Linked DNA regions of Callithrix jacchus. The protein of the gene in region 2 binds, or shares a complex with, the protein of the main gene of each other region. Links are inferred from orthologs where the notes say so. Each region holds a gene or a part of one and is shown on either strand. Other genes may lie near its edges.

Region 1 (4,025 bases), on a different chromosome or scaffold from region 2:
ATGGGTAACCTTCCAGGTCAGACGCTTCATTTCTCTCATGCAGCAATTCCTATCTGTGAACAGATGGTTAAGTGATGCCCTTACCAAATGCACCTTGAAAACCACCTAACGTAGCCTCGCCTTTCCGTTCATCATATAAATGGGCATGTTCCTAGCTCACGCCAATGATTCTTCCAGCAGCCCAGACTGAAGACGTGTTGTCATTCAAAAGCAGTGAATGTGCTGTAAACACCAATCAATAGTCATGTTTGAAGCTACAAGCAAGACACCCTTAGCACACTGTATTGATGGTTCTCTGCCAGTGGGATTTTACCCAAAAATCCAGGTATGGTCAGAGACAGAGCTCCATGAACTGACCTAACCTAGAAAAAGGCATGGGGGACAGGCGCTTTAAAGAGGAAACAAAACACTTCTGCTACTGAACAGGAGACCTTCAAATCTGGCTAAATTCCATGATTCAAACAAGCAGTCATGATAAAGAATGTGTTATGTTTTTGACTTCAGACAGAAAAAATATAAGATTTAGGCTGGGCGCGGTGGCTCAAGCCTGTAATCCCAGCACTTTGGGAGGCCGAGGTGGGTGGATCATGAGGTCAAGAAATCGAGACCATCCTGGTCAACATGGTGAAACCCCGTCTCTACTAAAGATACAAAAAATTAGCTGGGCATGGTGGCGCGTGCCTGTAATCCCAGCTACTCGGGAGGCTGAGGCAGGATAATTGCCTGAACCCAGGAGGCAGAGGTTGCGGTGAGCCGAGATCACGCCATTGCACTCCAGCCTGGGTAACAAGAGCGAAACTCCGTCTCAAAAAAAAAAAAAAAAAAGAAATATAAGATCTAGAAAAGATGTTTTGTCATCTTTTTCTACGTAAAAGCACCAAGTTCTCTTAACTGAAGTAATTACACAATTTGAATATTATGCAGTTATGGCAAGAAAATGGATAATTCTGCCCAGCTGTCTCTGGCATTAAGCAAGGATGACGCTGCAAGCTGAGAACATTCGTGTTTTGAAGACAAACCTGCCAAAACCAACACTGAACAGTTTCCTTTTAAACAAGTAAGATTCTGGGCTGACATTACCCAGCACCTGTGTCTAGGGCAGCTTTAGAGCACACCTAAGTGTTTATGACTGCAAAGTTAGGAGTCTTGCTCTTAAAATGCTCCATCTTGTAGCATTTGGCCTCGAACGCTGAAAAAACGTTTCTTTCCATTCAGTTCGGATAGGCTGTTTTCAATAATCGAGGCCGTTATTACAAAGAATGCACCAATCACATCTTGTAGCAAACAGGTGAGTGGAGGCCGCCCTTGAAAACACCAAATTGAGCACCTTAATTAACACTGAGCACAAAGGAGACCATTTACTAGAATACGCGCAGTTGATGCACGTGTAGAAGTTATCGCCAATAATCCCTCAAGTGGGTCAATTATGAAGTGTGATGCCTCCACTTCAAAGCTTCCGCTATATCTGCAATGATTAAAAGCAAGACTTGTTGCAAGAAAGTCTCGAGAAAAATGCACAATCCCTAACCATGGGAGGGCATCGCTTTAACGCTGAAAGCAGTGGAGAGCCTGGGATTCCGGGGAGGCCGCAGCTCCTCCTGCAGTCGCTTCCCAGGTAATCCCCGCATATCTCCTCGGGTTGGATGACCCTGGGCCACCGTGGGATAGATACTCATATTGCAAAGTACTTCAAGAAATAAACACCCGCTTTTACATGAAATTTCATTTTCACATGTTGTGTAAAAGCCCAGAAAGGTATGGCTTGAATGCAGATGCATCTATGTCCACACGGAACAGAGTGGCTGGGACCACGGTCGCAGTTTAGAATCATTGCCATGAGGACAGGAGTTTGCAGCAGCCCCAACCTGTGGCCTTCCGAGCCGTCTCCGGGGCCCTACAAAGGGGAGCTAAGTGTACTCCTGGTCGCTCCTGGGGCTGGGAGCTCGCAGGGAGGGGATCCCGTCGGCGGCTTCCCGGGACTGGGCGGCCACGTGCCCCCCGAAACCGTGTTCAGAATCGGGGCTGTGCTGTGGGAACTTGAAAGCTTCCAACAACTTTTCGTTTTTCTTTGAGCCAACGTTTGTTTTCTGTCAATCAATAGTTAATTTAAAAATAAGAAGGTGGAGAGGGAGTTATTTAGGGCAGGAGCTAGAATCGACTTCCAAAAAGACATCTCTGTGACCAGCTGGCGTCCCAGCGACCCCGGAATGGCCGGGAACCCCCAGCACGGGCCGAGGCGGCGCCGCGAACCCTCAGGCTCCCCCAGGCCGAGTCGCACCAGCCCGGGCGCCCGAGGCTGCAGGGGGGACGCTCGGTCCGCGCGCTCCGCGGGGCCCACCAGAGCTGCCCCTGGAAGAAACGCGGCGCCCAGTCGGAAACCCCAAACTCCGGAAAGCGCCACTTGACGCAGTGAAGGGGAGCCCCGCGCCTCGGAACAAGCCTTTCCAGAGGGTCCAGGCGCAAACCCCACAAGTTTCCCGCTGAGACGCCGCGCAGGAGAGGGCGGAGCGCGGGGCGGGGGTCCAGGGGGTCCTGGCTGACCGCGGCGTCCCGGACTCCGGAGCCCTCCCAACGGGCAGCCGCCCCTGGAGGGAGGGAAGGGGCGCGGGGAGGCCGAGGGGCGCGGAGGGAGAAGGAAGGGGCGGGGGCGGGAGGGACCATACTCACCGGCACAGGCACCAGCAGGCAGCCCGGGCGTCCGCGGGGGGCGGCGGGAAGCGGGAGTCCCTCGATGCTCATCGCCCAGCTCAGCGCCAGGACCCCACGCGAGCCTCCAGAGTCCCGCCGGGCGCCGCGTCCGAGCCCCTCTGCAGGCTCCGGCTCGGGTTTCGCGCGCGTCCGTGGCCTGGGGCGCGGGACTGGGAACCGGGAGCTCCGCCCACGAAGTCCCGCCCCGGGCGAGGGAGGGGCGCGGCGTAGCCGGAGTCGGGGTGCCGGGCGCGCGGCTCGCGGGGAAGGGCGGCGTCTGGGGGCACGGGGCGTTCCCTGGGGTCGGAGGGACCTTCGAGGGGCCGGCGGGGCTGGAGGCGGAACACGCGCTTCTCCCGGGCTGGGTACCCAGGTCCGCGTTCCAGGCCCCGGCGCTCCTTTGAGGCGCAGGTGGGCGCGCTCTGGACCGGCCTGGCGACCCCTCCCCGCCGCCCCCGCCCCGGCCCAAGGTCCTCAGCTTCTCCTCGGGGACGTTTCCAACCGCAGCCTCGGGGTCCCCGGGCGCCCCCAGCCCTCTGGGGTCCCCACACCTTCGCCGGCCGCAGCCCTCAGACCTTCCTCCGGCGTCTCCCCAGCAATGGGGGAGCCCGGAGGACCCCGAGGACTGCCCGGCCCGAAGAAAAGACAGGGAGTCCTCCCCTTCCCCCAGCGCCGCTCCCGTCGTCCTTCTCCCTCCATCGCCCCAAAGGTCCGCGGCCCCGTCCCGCCTCCGGGGCGCGGCGTCTCGCGAACCCTGCGGGGACCCCGATCTCGGCTGCGGCGGAGACGCGGGTCCCCCGTTCACTCAGCTTTGCGCCCAGAGGAGCCTCCCCGACGCCCGCACGGGGTTCCCAGACTCAAATCGGCCTATGTTAATGTAAATGAAGTAAGTTTAGGGTAAATTCCCGTGGGGCGGGGCAGTGAGGGGCGCACAGGCCACCTACATTTTTAGAAAGAAGCTGGCGCCCCTTTTCCTCCTTTCCAACCCCCTCCGTCCTCCAGGCCAGGCCTGGGCGCGGGCGCGTCTCGGAGACCCGGACGCCCCTGTCCCTCCCGCTCCGAGGCAGCAAAAGCCGCGAAGTCTGAGGCCTTTGGAGGAGGTTCGCCCTCTAGGAGCAGAACTTGAGTGAACAAATAAACGTTGAAAAATCGCTGTGAAACGCTTTCCTTTTTCTGACTCCGACTCGCTTGGCCGCCGGCAGACCTGGGTTTCGGACCCGGGCGCCCCCCCATCCCCCCATCTCTGGGTTCCAGGGCGGCCTGCGGGGGATCTCAGGGCTTCTCAGCACCACCTTTACCGGAGCCAAACGCAGTGTTTTCTTTTTCTTTTTGAGACG
Region 2 (3,594 bases):
CACGATTTGGCCACATCTCTCCCTCCCTCCTTTGCACGAATCCACCCACACAGCCCTAGTCTCCCCTCAGTTTAGTTGGCTGGAGGCTGCCATTCCTGGGCCAGTATGTGGTTCATGTACTCTGCTGATGGTATAACCCTTGGCATTCCCCTACCACCTCCCCGAATCCAGACTCACCCCCTGTGAGTGCAGATACTCCACAGTTTTGCCGATGGTGTGCAGGACGAAGCTGGCTTCCCGCTCCGAGAAGAACTTCTGCCGCAGGATCTTGTCCAGCAGTTCCCCGCCCCGCATCAGCTCTGTCACCAGGTACACGTGTTTGCCATCATCATACACCTGCCAAAGACCTCACCATTAGGCTCTTCTCCCCAGTGTCATGCCTGGGCATCCTAGTCAGCAGCATCCGAGAGCAGGGAAGAATGACATGAGCCTTAGGCATGTGCTCTGCTGTGCACTTCAGTGGCCCTGCCCTCCCCGAAAAGAGGATGCTGACACTGGTCCCCTGATAGGCAAGAAGGTCTTCAGAAAATGCTTGAGTCTGAAGGAGGGCCCTTGGGGTATGGCCAGACTGCAGAGACCAAGGGTCCTCCTTCACCTTCACATGAGCACTGGAAGGAGGATGAGAAGTCAAAGGAATGGAAAACCTGAGACAAATCCTGGAGAGTTAAGTTCCTGGTCCCCACCCCAGTCTCAAGGACCCCACTCACATCTTTCAGAGTGATGATGTTGGGGTGCTGGCCGTACCGCAGAAGAATCTCAATCTCTTCTGAAGGATCCCGCTTGCTCTTGTCAATGACCTGAAGAAAGGGGCATGCACATGGCAGTGTCAGGGTGACAAGCTCCAGGGTCCTCCCCTGCTACAGAGGAGCAGGCCTGGAGGTCTCAGCCACACACCTTTCATCCATCTGCTGAGCTCAGGCACCACCCCTCCCCGCCAGATGGGGACCTGCCCCCAGCCCGGCAGCCTTGGCTGAGACATGTTCAGGAGGCCCACCTTGACAGCATACTCCATGTTGGTGGCCTTGTGGACACAGCGCTTGCACACAGAGTAGGAGCCCACACCGATTGTCTCCTTTACCACGTAGCCATCACTAAAAACCACGTTCTTCCCATGGAGTTGCTGTAGGAGACCAAAAATTGTGGCTGACCCCTGGCTCCAGAGTGCTAGGGGTCATCCCACAGCACCAAGGTCTTGGCTCAGTAGAGATGGCAACAGGAAAGAGCCAGGAGGCTTGGGGTGGAGTACTGGCAATGTGACTGCAGGTGAGAGCCTACCCCTCTCTGGGCCTCAGTTTTCTTTTTTTTTGAGATAGAGTCTTGTTCTTTTGCCAGGCTGGAGTGCAGTGGTGTAATCTTGGCTCACTGCAACCTCTGACTCCGGATTCAGGCAATTCCCCTGACTCAGCCTCCTGAGTAGCTGGGACTACAGGCGCGCACCACCACACCCAGCTAATTTTTTTATTTTAGTAGAGATGGGGTTTTACCATGGCCAGGATGGTCTTAATCTCCTGACCTTATGATCCACCCTCCTCTGCCTCCCAAGGTGCTGGGATTACAGGCTGAAGCCACCACGCCCGACCAGTTTTCTATTCTATATGATGGGCATACTCGCTGGCTCCCAGCCTGCCTGGACTGCAGCCTGTGGTCAGAGGGCAGTGTAGGGAGTGGGTAAGAGGGTCACAACATACATGGAGAGGTCTTTCGTTCTAAAAAGCCTGAGGAGGCCTGGAAGGGATGTAGGAGCCCTGAGCTGAGTTCCAGTTCTACTACTAACTATAGCTTTGAGTGAGTTGCCTCCCCTTTCTGGGTGTCACAGCTCATCTCAAGGTTCTGGGACATTAGCTATAACAATGCTCAATGGTGCTTAGTGTGTGCTGTGTTCCTGGTACTATTCTAAGCACTTTCATCAGGTGACTGCACGCCCCATGGATAGCCCTGGTTTGAGCCTGTAGTCCTTGCATCCAGTCTGATTTAGTATTTGTCCTGGATAAAGAAAGATGTCCCAGTTTGGAAAATAAATGACATAGTCACTTTAACTTTATTTTTAAATTTTATTTATTTATTTTTTGATACAGAGTCTTGCTCTGTCACCCAGGCTGGAGTGCCATGGTGCATTCTTGGCTCACTGTAACCTCTGTCTCCTGGGTTCAAGCGATTCTCGTGTCTCAGCCTCCCAAGTAGATGAGATTGTAAGCATGCGCCAACATGCCCGGCTGATTTTTGTATTTTTAGTAGAGATAGGTTTCACCATGTTGACCAGACTGGTCTGTTTAAAATCCTGTCTTCAAGCAATCCACCTACCTTGGCCTCCCAAAGTGCTGGGATTACAGGCATGAGCCACCATGCCCAGCCCACCTTAACTTTACATGTATTAACTCTGATAATCCTCATAACAACTCTCTAGAGGAAGCTTCTATCATTTCCCCCATTTACAGATGAGGAAACTGAGGCACCAGGAAGGGAAGTGTCTCATCCAAAATCCATTATCTGGCCAGGTGCTCATGTCTGTAATCTCAGCACTTTGAAAGGCTGAGGTGGATGGATCACTTGAGGTCAAGAGTTTGACACCAGCCTAGGCAACATGGTGAAACCCTGTCTGGACTAAAAATACCAAAAAACAAAACTAGATGGTGTGGCGGCGTGCCTCTGCAGTCCCAGCTACTCAGGAGGCTGAGGCAGGAGAATCACTTGAAGCTGAGGAGGAGGTTGCAGTGAGCTGAGTTTGTGCCACTGCACTCCAGCCTGGGCAACAGAGCAAGACTATGTCTCTTAAAAAAACAAAAAAAAAACCCAAAGTCCATTATCTTGTGAATCTGGAACCCATGCAATGAGCTCTGGAGTCTACATCCTTGCCTCTCAACCCAAAACTTCCATGAAGCAGTGAAAGTGTAAAAATGGGGAACTAGTGTGAAGAGACACAAGTCCTTTGCCACCCTCCTGCCAGAGACATGACAGTCACTCTGCACCACCACCCTGGGAACCCCCTGGCATATACCCAGACCCTGGCCTTGTGCTGGGAAATGTATACCCATATCATTATCCAATGATCAGGGCCACCGTGTGGGCCTTACTGTCCCTGTTTTATGTTGGACGACCTTCAGGTCCCACAGTGGCATGAGGCTATGAACCTGGTTCTGTCGAAGTCAGAGCCTGTATTCTCAGCCATTCTGGTGGGGAGCTAAAAAAGGAGAATGGATCAGAACCCCCACCCCCTCACCTGTACCACTGAGTGCAGGGGTGCCTGTGGGGCGCGAGGCTTGCCATCATCCTCCATCAGGCCAGTGGCCACGAAGCTGAAGCCCCGGAACAGCTGATGGGCCCCAGCGCTAGGCGGGATGCCTGGGGAATCTGTAGGGACGGGAGGGGAATGTGAGCCTGAGGAGGTACCCTCCACCCTGAGCCAGCCCAGCAAAGGGGGAGCACAGGGCCTCCAGACCTGCCTCAGTAGCTGGCCATCGTGGGAGCCTGCAAGAGGCCCGTCCATCCCAGACATTAGCCTAACTGCTCATATGTGTTTAGACCAGTCCAGTCCTGACCCATGAGGAACATAAAAGACTCCCACCTCCACCAGCTGACAGTTCACCCCTTCCTGGA

Evidence for each region.
Region 1: the proteins of RPS6KA1 (region 2) and SNTG2 are in contact, whole or in part, in a crystal structure (PDB 7QQL), measured with the Homo sapiens proteins. The link is inferred for Callithrix jacchus from reciprocal best matches to the Homo sapiens genes RPS6KA1 and SNTG2. Residues at the interface, in NP_002944.2 of Homo sapiens: Pro731, Ser732, Thr733, Thr734, Leu735; in NP_061841.2 of Homo sapiens: Gly82, Gly83, Leu84, Gly85, Leu86, Ser87, Ile88, Lys89, Gly90, His94, Ser101, Lys102, Phe104, His134, Val138, Leu141, Arg142.

Annotation. Positions count from the first base shown.
Region 1 is NC_133515.1:114,023,285-114,027,309, forward strand, and holds the start of SNTG2 (gamma-2-syntrophin), read right to left. Parts: upstream 2,833-4,025; 5' UTR 2,740-2,832; coding exon 2,668-2,739; intron 1-2,667. UniProt on the Homo sapiens protein: Adapter protein that binds to and probably organizes the subcellular localization of a variety of proteins. May link various receptors to the actin cytoskeleton and the dystrophin glycoprotein complex.
Region 2 is NC_133508.1:63,207,304-63,210,897, reverse strand, and holds part of RPS6KA1 (ribosomal protein S6 kinase alpha-1), read right to left. Parts: intron 3,349-3,594; coding exon 3,218-3,348; intron 1,121-3,217; coding exon 995-1,120; intron 798-994; coding exon 708-797; intron 337-707; coding exon 178-336; intron 1-177. UniProt on the Homo sapiens protein: Serine/threonine-protein kinase that acts downstream of ERK (MAPK1/ERK2 and MAPK3/ERK1) signaling and mediates mitogenic and stress-induced activation of the transcription factors CREB1, ETV1/ER81 and NR4A1/NUR77, regulates translation through RPS6 and EIF4B phosphorylation, and mediates cellular proliferation, survival, and differentiation by modulating mTOR signaling and repressing pro-apoptotic function of BAD and DAPK1.